Linked DNA regions of Oryctolagus cuniculus. The protein of the gene in region 2 interacts with the protein of the main gene of each other region in a biochemical or structural test. Links are inferred from orthologs where the notes say so. Each region holds a gene or a part of one and is shown on either strand. Other genes may lie near its edges. The genes, in order: LCP2, PLCG1 and SOS1.

The links.
Region 1: the proteins of PLCG1 (region 2) and LCP2 form a complex in vitro, tested with the Homo sapiens proteins (2 studies listed by BioGRID). The link is inferred for Oryctolagus cuniculus from reciprocal best matches to the Homo sapiens genes PLCG1 and LCP2.
Region 3: the proteins of PLCG1 (region 2) and SOS1 form a complex in vitro, tested with the Homo sapiens proteins (2 studies listed by BioGRID and IntAct, with this or other methods). The link is inferred for Oryctolagus cuniculus from reciprocal best matches to the Homo sapiens genes PLCG1 and SOS1.

What each region holds. Positions count from the first base shown.
Region 1 is NC_091437.1:57,184,368-57,188,117, forward strand, and holds the start of LCP2 (lymphocyte cytosolic protein 2), read right to left. Parts: upstream 2,845-3,750; 5' UTR 2,632-2,844; coding exon 2,554-2,631; intron 1-2,553. UniProt on the Homo sapiens protein: Adapter protein primarily involved in signaling pathways within T-cells, as well as other immune cells such as platelets, mast cells, and natural killer (NK) cells.
Region 2 is NC_091442.1:17,781,699-17,785,350, reverse strand, and holds part of PLCG1 (1-phosphatidylinositol 4,5-bisphosphate phosphodiesterase gamma-1), read left to right. Parts: intron 1-1,851; coding exon 1,852-2,004; intron 2,005-2,114; coding exon 2,115-2,208; intron 2,209-2,362; coding exon 2,363-2,410; intron 2,411-3,652. UniProt on the Homo sapiens protein: Mediates the production of the second messenger molecules diacylglycerol (DAG) and inositol 1,4,5-trisphosphate (IP3). Plays an important role in the regulation of intracellular signaling cascades.
Region 3 is NC_091433.1:163,884,130-163,887,090, forward strand, and holds part of SOS1 (son of sevenless homolog 1), read left to right. Parts: exon of another isoform or gene 1-982; coding exon 983-1,027; exon of another isoform or gene 1,028-2,580; coding exon 2,581-2,699; exon of another isoform or gene 2,700-2,961.

The DNA.
Region 1 (3,750 bases), on a different chromosome or scaffold from region 2:
CCAGATACAGGATGAGAAACACATCTGAGGTAAAAAGACTTAGAGCCCTGCGATCCACATACCAATGAGTGGCCAGTTAACACAGCAGGAAACTGGGAGCAATAAACATTTTGATACCTCTGTCTGCTGAATGCCTCACATACACTATTTCCTTTACTCCTCTCAACCATTCCACTGGGTTTGTTACCCTTCATGTCTGTTTAATTGCCTGCTTTGGTAGAACTTGTGCCTACCAATTGCCTTCCAATCATCTACCAATCAACCCGTGAAATGATACATTTTATTTCCAAGATCCATCCCCAGATGACCCTGTGTTGAGCAATGTTTTCTCTCTTGAGGACTGACTTGCTCAGAGAGGCGAAGTAGCTAAGGGAAGGCCACCAAACTAGCAGGTGGCAGAGCCAGGGTTCCAACAAGGTGTGTCTGACTCCAGAGTTGGGCAGCGTGGTATCACTGAGGGAAGCCTGACCCTGACACGTGGGTAGAAGCTGCACCCACCAAACGCCTACCCACTGATGCGTTAAATGGGTATGCTTGATCACTAAGATCCATCCCCAAATGAACTTGCAGTCAGTGCGCTCCTGGTTCTGTCTCTTGGGGACTGAGATGGCCTGGGACTTCCAGGGTCACAGATTCCCCTCTGCCTCCTTGTTCCTACCTGGGTCCTTTTGTGCCGGGAGGGGAACCTGGCCCAGTGCTATGCAGTTTTTGCAAGGTCTTAGAACTCCAAGAAGAGAATCATCTCTTCCCCGAACTCAGACAGAGAGCTGTGTCCTGCCCTCCAGTCTGTCCTATCGCCCTGCGCTGACAGGAACTTTGTCTACAGACTCTCTGTCGGTCAGCTGAGTTGTGAAATTTTTCTGACCACATTTGAAATAGCCCCTCAGCCTCTCCTGGGCCTTTCCCTCTGTAACTCTCAACTCCTTTCTCCCTTCTTTATTGCAATAACGTACCACATACTTCCATCTGGGCAAATTTTACCTTTGATCGCCCTATCTCAGAGAAGTATTAGAAACACTCTTCAAAGGCCAGTCGGGCCAGTTGTCCAATGATCTTTGCATCTACAAACCCAAAACCTAGTTTTGTTATGACTTTATACATGTGTGGGGTGGAGGCAGAGGGGACAACAGAAGTGAAATGCACAAGAAACAGAAAACGACAGGCTCTGTGGGGCTGTGCCCCTACCATGCCACACCTGGTTCAAGGTTTTTGTTTTTAGGCTGGGGAAGAACCATCATCACTGCAAATACCTTGGTACTATGAGACCTCAGGTTCAGCTATGTGTCCCAGAGAGCCTATTCCACCCCCGCGGGGCTCAGTTTCCCCAGGAAAAACAGTTAAGTGAGATGACATGTAAAGTCTTAGTGCTACAAGCTCTTCTTTATGCTGGTCTGCAGTATCAACTAAATGTGGTGCCAGCCTGCAGGGAAGAGGATGTTAGAAGAGCAAATGTCCCTTCGGCTGGTGCTGTGGTACAGTGGGTTAACGCCCTGGCCTGAAGCGCCGGCATCCCATATGGGCTGCTGCACTTCCGATCCAGCTTTCTGCTATGGCCTGGGACAGCAGTAGAAGATGGCCCAAGTCCTTGGGCCCCTGCACCCACATGGGAGACCTGGAGGAAGTTCCTGGCTTCTGGCTTTGGATTGGCATAGCTCCGGCCGTTGCAGCCAACTGGGGAGTGAACTAGCAGATGGAAGACCTCTTTCGCTCTTTCTCTCCCTCTCTCTCTGCCTCTCCTTTCTCTGTGTAACTCTGACTTTCAAACAAATAAATAAATCTTAAAAAAGAGAGCAAATGTCCCCTGCAAGGCATCCTATGCTAGAGACAGGAACAGAGGATCCATACTTGCTCGGGCAGGCTTGTGTCCTGTCATCCCCACCAGCAGGTGGACAAGCAGACGATCTTTGAGCATCTCTTCCAAGTCTGGAAGGTAGGACAGCAACCCTGGTCCCGGCTCCACTGCAGTGAGACTCTGATCTATGTAAGAACTTGAGGACCCAGCTTTCTGGGCCCTGAGCAGTGAGTGGCCAAACGCCATGTCTAGCGTTGTTCACCCTCTACCCCTGCCTCCTTCCCTGCCTGTTGTTCTGCACCCAGAGCACCAGGTCTCCCCTTTCTAGAATGTAGTTCTCTTCATCTCAGAGCACAGACTGAAACTGCACAGAAGTGACTCCAATCCTTCTGTCACTACCACCTGTAGTCCCTGTGGCTTTGGGCTGTTTAGCTTCCTTGAGCCTACCTTGAAGCTGAGCCACAGGGATGACAATATTGACCTCAGAAGATTGTCAAGAGGGATCAATGGCACAGTGCTGCAGTGTACCGAGTTCAGGCCCTGGCACATGGTAGGCACCTACTCATTCAAGAGCTCCTGCTCCCACCCTCCTCTCCAGAACTCACTGCAAGGAGCTCTCAGTGGTCTCCCATGGCGCTCACTCTCCCAACAAGGCTGCCGAGAGGCCAGTCACTCCACAGCTGTCTTTTACACCTCTTGTCTTCTGCCCAGCCCATGGAGGGCACTCCCAGCCCGACCACCAACAAAAGAGTGGGTCTCACCTTCTTAAAGTAGTCAGCAAGGCTGTCAGGGTCCCAGGCGAGGACTTCGGAGCGAAAGGGCACGTTCCTCAGTGCCATGGCCGCTGTCTTAGGAGGGGGCTCACAGGTTGAGCGTGGATGCTGCACCCATGGACAGAGAACCCCAAATCCAGATCTTGGAGGCGTCCTTGGCTCTCCCAACTCCCAGCTGCCCCTGGATCGGCCTTGTTGGAGCAGACGTCTTTTCTGCTGTAGTCGGATCCCAGAAAGCAGCAGCTTCCTCTGCGAACAAATATGGTCTCTTCTCAGAAAACGACTTGGCTAGTTTCCTTTACCACTTCCTCTGCTGGCTTCTAAATAAGTAAACAAGGAAGCCCAGCTCTGAGGGCTTGAGATGCAGACAGAGTGACAGGGCAGGTCATTCTCCACCTCGCCCGTGGTCCTGGGCACCCCTGCCCAGCAGGAGGGGCCATGAAGGGCGCTTAAACTCCGAAGCCAGCCCAAGCATTTTGCTGTTAAAACTCCTGTCCCTTCAGCCCCACCCCATGGGTCTACACCACGTTCTTGCTCTGCTGGGGCTTTGCAGATGAATATCTATTCATCTGACAATTGACCTAAAATATAGACAACTTCCAGCAACAGGGAGCTGTGGTGTGGGGGGACGCATGCATGATGCCCCTTCTTCCCTCTTCTCTCAGCCCTAGTCTCTAGCAGTCTCTGCCTGCTACCATTGAAATGAGAGGGTGAGTCTGTAGTGCGTCAGGCATCCAAGGCTGAGCAAGGCGCTACCCTGGGCCAACCCGGGTTCCCTTCTGATGGGAGCTTCTCTGTGCTGTGCAACCTTAGGCAAGGACTTAAAATCTGGGGAGCTCAGTTTCCCTATATGTAAAATAGGAAAGCAGAGGAATTGCCTTATACACACATAACAAATAGATGCATTTAACTTGAGAACCTTCAAATGAAAAAATCAGAAAGCTAGAAGTGACAATTGCTACAGCTGGTGCCTTGGATTCCACTGTGTGTTTACAGCTCATGTTTTATTCACTGTTGATGACATCATGTGTTTCAATCAAAAAGCACATTCCCTGGAGACAGGAGTAGGAATCTTCTAATTTCTTCACCAGTCTCAGACTGTGCATTTCTATAGACGGAGCAACTTGTTGTCAGACAGCCAAGCCAGGGTCTAAAAGGCAATGCATTTGTGCAATGCAGCAGTGG
Region 2 (3,652 bases):
ATATTGTATGCTTGACCTTGAGCGATTATTGCCTGCTTTGGTCCCTGACTTGGGTCAGGCTCTTTTGCTTTCAGTCTGGGCTCAGTGGAAATGAACACAGGGCAGGCTGAAATTTACCTAGGGCTTGATGGTGGCTCTGCCTGTGTGTGTTGCCTAGCAGTAGTCCCTGGACTGGCCCTCCAGCCGCCTGCCAAGTGGTACTCACATTACTGGACTACATGTGATGCCTGGTAAGGTAGTTGAAAGGAAGGGCCCATGCCGTGGGCCACACAGGCCCTGGCCTGCATACATTGCTATGTGTGTGTGCCTTCGTGAGAAGGTGTAGGAGGGGATGACAGTAGCACTGCACTGGAAGCTTACTGGTTTCTGTTGCAAGGATAGAGTGTGTGGCTCTGCAGTTTCTGATCTGGGCGTTTCGCCTGATGGAAGCTCTTCCTTCCATCCTTGGAGATTGTGGTCTCAAGCTGGTCTCTGACCCAGTTCGCTCCCTCCTTTCTGCCAGAGTGTAATGTGTCATGCTTACTCCATCCCATTTCATTGTCCTTCCCCAGGCCTGTAAACCTGCTCTTTTCATGTGTTCATTTAATTATTCAGCAACCACTGGAGGTGCCCTGTCTGGCCTGGGGAAGATAAAGAGCATACATTCATGTAGTGGGCCCAAGAATATGTTTACTACAGAAAGGAGCTTCTCCTTTGGAGCTTTGGTGGGAGAGAATGGATCCTGATAGGTGGGTACCCTTAGGCCAGGGACCAGGGTAAAATGGGGACAGGAAACCCCAGTTGTTGTCACCCTAAGTTAGGTTAGTTTGGATAAAGCAGACGAGATGGGAGGTAAAAGCTGGGGAGGTAAATCTCTGAGCCCCCGTCACAGAGAACTTGGAGGGCCACAGAAGGAGCATGTTCTCCTGAAGCTGGTGGTGGGCAGTGTGTGTGTGTGTGGGGGGGGGGGGGTCTACAGGGATCAGAACGATGTTTTATGAAGATTCAGAAGACTGGGAAGATGGCTGGTTGGTGAGAACTAGGAGGCAGGGCCACCAACAGGAAAGGCAGGGCTCTCAGCAGAGGATGGGGGAGATGGACTAGATGCTCAGGGGATGAGAGTTGGGCCCAGGTAGAATCAGTACTGTTGTGGCAAGAGATTTGGGATTGGGGCCAGACGCAGTGTCCACTGTTATAGATGGGATAGATAGGGCCTGCTATTCAGGGCTATGCCTTGGGAGGGCAGGGGTAGCAGGGCCCTTCGATAGCTGATCAGGAAATGACAGTCCAGGATGGCTGCTTTGCTTGGACAGTGTTGCCTTAGGGGCAGTTAGGCCTCTTGCTGAGATTGTGTAAGGCTGTCTTTAGGGGTTGGAACATCTCAGAGATGTACCTGTTTTCTGGGCCTGCTTTCTCCCTGAGATTCTGAGACCCATGTGGATCTGTCCATCCCCAGCCCTGCCCCTGCTTGGGTGTGCTGTGTGTCATGAAGTGATCCTCACAGAACACCCTTGGGAACCCATTGCTTCTCTGGAGTTCAGCTCTTTTCCAGGTCAGAATGTCCAGCCTGTATTCTGAGAGAACAAAGATGGGGGAAGGTCTCCATAGAGAGCTCCCTGTCGCCAGGTAGCCTTTTCTGACCTCTCAGCCCTTAGCAAAGGCTTGAGTTTGGACCCAGCCCAGTTGTCTTTTATCATTCAGTGTGACTGAGTGCTTTTGGCTCTTGGCCTTGGAGGTTGGGACAGGGCATTGTCTTTCTTTGTGATCCCTTCCCTGAGAGAAAACATGCAAGTAAGTGAGGAAACTGGGCTGCCCTTGGTACTGACTCTGGGAGTCTCCAGCCTGACCTTGGCCTCTTCCCTGCTTTCCTAGTTGACATTCGTGAAATCAAGGAGATCCGCCCAGGAAAGACCTCACGGGACTTCGATCGCTATCAAGAGGACCCCGCTTTCCGCCCAGACCAGTCACACTGCTTTGTCATCCTCTATGGGATGGAATTCCGCCTGAAGACCCTGAGCTTACAAGGTGGGTTTCAGAGGGCTAGAGGAGGTGGGGGTAGTTAAGAGGAGCACCTGCTGGTTCCTGGCCCCATAGCAAGTGTGCCCTCAGTTCAGCTATTCTCCCTTGCTCAACAGCAACGTCTGAGGATGAAGTGAATATGTGGATCAAGGGCTTAACTTGGCTGATGGAGGACACATTGCAGGCAGCTACACCTCTGCAGATTGAGAGGTGAGAACCACCCCTGAGAGGGTTAGCGCCAGAGGCCTTGGAGCAGGGGCAGGGACTGCAGCCTTCGGATGCCCAGATGCTGCCTGCTCCCCTCCTCCCCAGGCCTGGCCCTAGGTGGAGAAGTGTTCCTCACCTCGGGTTTTTCTCTCTCCAGGTGGCTTCGGAAACAGTTTTACTCAGTGGATCGGAATCGGGAGGATCGGTAGGTACTAAGCTATGAATAGGAGAAGCAGAGCCATAGCCGTGCCTCTGAGCAGCTACCTGGAGAGCCAGGGGACCCCAAGAATCTGCCTGAAGTAGAGTAGGGGAAGAACAGAGGGTCCTGGCACAAGTAGTTCTCTGCAGAAAGCCTTCTGATAGCCTTGGTACAAGCTAGTGAGGAAAGCAAGTGACAATATGGAAATGCAGAACAGGCTATGGGTGTCCTGAAGCTGGGGAACAGGGGCTCAGATAGTATGTGAAGTGTGTCTTAAAATGTAAGAGGGGATTCTTTTTTGACAGGCAGAGTGGACAGTGAGATAGAGAGACAGAGAGAGAAAGGTCTTCCTTTTGCCGTTGGTTCACCCTCCAATGGCTGCCGCTGCAGTCGGCGCACCGCGCTGATCCGATAGCAGGAGCCAGGATCCAGGTGCTTTTCCTGGTCTCCCATGGGGTGCAGGGCCCAAGCACCTGGGCCATCCTCCACTGCACTCCCTGGCCACAGCAGAGAGCTGGCCTGGAAGAGGGGCAACCGGGACAGAATCCGGCGCCCTGACCGGGACTAGAACCCGGTGTGCCGGCGCCGCAAGGTGGAGGATTAGCCTATTGAGCCGCGGCGCCGGCCAAGAGGGGATTCTGAGGGGCCAGGGAGATGAGGGAGCAAAAACCAGGTGGTGTGGATGCTGTCCCGTGGTTAAGCCCTCTGAGCCTGGGTGTGCTGTGACTTAGTGTTGCTGAAGATCCTATGCTGCTCTGGCATTCCTGGGGAAAAATGAGCAGGCTGGGATCAGGGTGGTGAGAGTAGGAAGTGGATGGATTTGGCTATGTTGTATTTCAAAGATAGAGCCATAAAGAATTTCCTTGCAGATTGATTTTGGCATATGAGAGAGAAAGGAGTCTGCTTTTGTCTTGAGCAGCTGGAAAATACAGTTGGCATTGACTGAAGTGGGAAGTCCACGGGGACACATCAGGGGTTCAGCTCAGGGTGTGTTCAGTGTTCTGATGTCATGTGTAGGCCGAGGTACTGAGTAGGTAAGAGGGTAGAATGGGGTTTAGGGGAGAAGTTGGGGCTAGAGATACTAACTTGGGACTGTGAAGGTGCTGTGGAGAGCCATGGTGGCAGCTGATAAGATCACCCAGAGGCAAGTGGCAAGAACAGGGATGCCAGCCCATCTCAGAGATTGGGGATGAATGGCGGCTAGTGTGAGCTAGTAAGAGGAAAATGGTATTGAATTCTGGCAGCCTG
Region 3 (2,961 bases), on a different chromosome or scaffold from region 2:
TTAACTGAGTCTCACCCTTCAGTCATGGTCAGTATATTTGTTCAGCATCCAGTTGACAAGAATTTCTAACCTATCTCTTGATTAGACAGCATAAAATTCTAAGAGAATTCTTAAGAATATTTTCCAGATGGCGAGACCAACCAATGAGTTAAAAGAAATAAGGCCAAAGATGTGCCCCAAATTTACCAAGTGTTTGAATCTAAGACCATGCTATATGTGAACATGTTCAAAGCCAACTTTACATCCATGTCTATAAGTGTGTATGCATCTGTATAATTCTTTCAAAAAGACTGCAACCTGTAATAGTCAACGGATGTGATTTTATTTTATTTCTGTATTGTACTAATTATACCATCATTTTTTAATATTGTTGAAATTAGACACTTTAAATTTATCAGTTTCCTTCAAAAAATGTCTTTCAGCCCCAAACTTTTACTGATTTTTTTAGAGTGTTTATTGCCACAAAAGGAAAAAAGCTGTATCACTTTCAGCTTGTTTGAATATCCAGAGCTGTAGTTATTTTGTGATGAGAATACCTGTCCCAGGAACACTTTTCAAAAGTATAAAGTACTAAGAAATTCCCTTTTCTTTTTAATTTGTATAAAATAATTTCTTATTTATTACTTCTTTCACAAGTTTGAATTTTCAAAATAATTTTTAGTAAATGACATTTCTGAATGGCCCCCTGAATTCTTTGCTTGATTTAATCTGTGCAACTTAGTCTTACAATAATATAGTTTTCTTGTGAATATTTGTCATTTAATTATTACATCAAACAGTAAATCTAAAACATCTTCAAAGTTCCAAATATTAACTCAGTTTTTTCTTCTCAAAAGTAAGTAATAATGAGTTTTTATTAAAAATTGTTACACCATTCTTTAGAATTAGAATGACAAGAATAACACTTTCATCATAAATTTTTACATATGGGTTGAATATATCAATGAAAGAAAAATCTACTTTTTCTTGTTTCCTTTCACAGGCAGCGATACCGTCTTTATCCAAGTAACACTGCCCCATGGCCCAAGTTAGTATATTTGGTTTAAGACTCATAATTCTTGCTTTGGCTTTAAAAAATCAAACCAAGTGTAACCTTTCCTGCTAAAACTCGTCTTGGGTCTGGCAGCATTGGTACCTTGCTTGCAACATCTTAGAAGTGAGGCCCTCACTTGTGCTATCTTTTAATCATAAGTGATTTGCTTAAATTTATATACTTTTCATGCTTTTTTAAAAACTTTTTTTTCCCTCTTTTAAAAGAACATATTAAATGAGTGGCTTCCCCCATGTAACCATTTCTCTTTTCCCACTATGGAGTTCTGAATATATTTTACTGCTCAACTTTGAAAACAGCAGCAAGAGCATGCATGCGCATATGGGAATGCTGGCAGCTAAAGCAGTGTCTGAATCACAGCTATACATAGTTTGGTAGACAGCTTAGGCTGGAGGCAAATAACTGCAGCTATTTACATGATAAGGCCCAAGTAGTTATCATTAAGTTGCATTGTAGCTCTTTGCTTTTGAAGTAAACTAACCATTCAATTCCATTATTTTAATTATATTAAGCTTACAGATTAATATTTTTGCTGTCCTTTCATAAAAAAGATTTCAAAATTTATACAATGGAAAATATTGTACACTAAAGTTAGTATACATAGTCTCTTAAGAAAAAGGTAGTTGATCATTTGAATAATTCAGAACACAAAGTGCTTTTTAAATTATTTTGTAACATTTAACTGACAAAAGCTTAATGCCTAAAGGGGAAAAAAAATCCTACCAAGTATAATTTTAGTGATTGGATGGCTTAAGTATTTTTTCATGTCCATTTTTATAGTATTTATAAACTAGCTAACTTACACATGTGTTGTCTTTCAGAGTGTAATGATTTACATACCTACATTATGCCCTTGTCACCATAAATGTCTGTTAGACAGGTTCTCAGTAGAAGCTTTACTTTGTGTGTCTGCCTTAGTCATCTTAAATAGTTTCATCGCAGCTCCAGTTTTTAGATTAGAGGCTGATTTTGCTGATACGCTAAGGATAACCTATACCTAAGCAAAATGCGGAGAAATCCTTCCCTGGACAGTAGATTCTTTCCCTTGCATCCACTGAGAGAACTGCTGGAGAGAGGCACTGGGGACAGAGGTTAGGATCAGAAACTCTATTCCCAGGAACTATCCAGAAAGACCTGGGAATTTCTATACTAACAAAGTCAGAGGCAAAAATGAACCCATCACAAAACTTAACAAAAATTACCATTCCAAAGATTTTTTTAATAGTTTGTTATCTCTCCCAAAAATCTGAGAATCAGACTCAATTAAAAATCCCAATAACAGATTGACACTGGGAATGTTATTTTGTTCAAGAATCAAAATAACAGTGTCTTAGGCAGCTTTTTTCTAAAAATTCTGCTAAGAAATTTCTGCATGCATTTATAGCAGTTTGCTTTAATAAATGAAATACTACTGGGTACTTCTACATAGTTCTTTTAATAGATATAATCAATTTCCAGCTAAATCTTTTCAAGATTAATAAATGAAATAAAATTCCCATGAACTGTTTTTAAAATGTAACATCCTACAGGATCTGCTTCAGTATCATCTATAAGTTTAACCAAGGGCACTGATGAAGTGCCTGTCCCCCCTCCTGTTCCTCCACGAAGACGACCAGAATCTGCCCCAGCGGAATCTTCTCCATCTAAGGTAAAGTAGAAAATCTTGTTATCTGGAAATTGGAATCAATACAGTTATAGTATCATCAGTTGTTTAGATATAGTTTATTTTAAACTGGGATAGATGAACATCTCAGAATATTTGGGCTTAGTTTAATAAGGATTCATGTAGTCATGTTTATTTCTTTTCTTCTGAAGTTAGTTTTGGGTATGTTTTTATAAACCAAAAGCTATTGATAAGGTTAAAGAAATATGACGTTTTAATCTGTAAAGTAAGAGTAATTTGGTTTCAA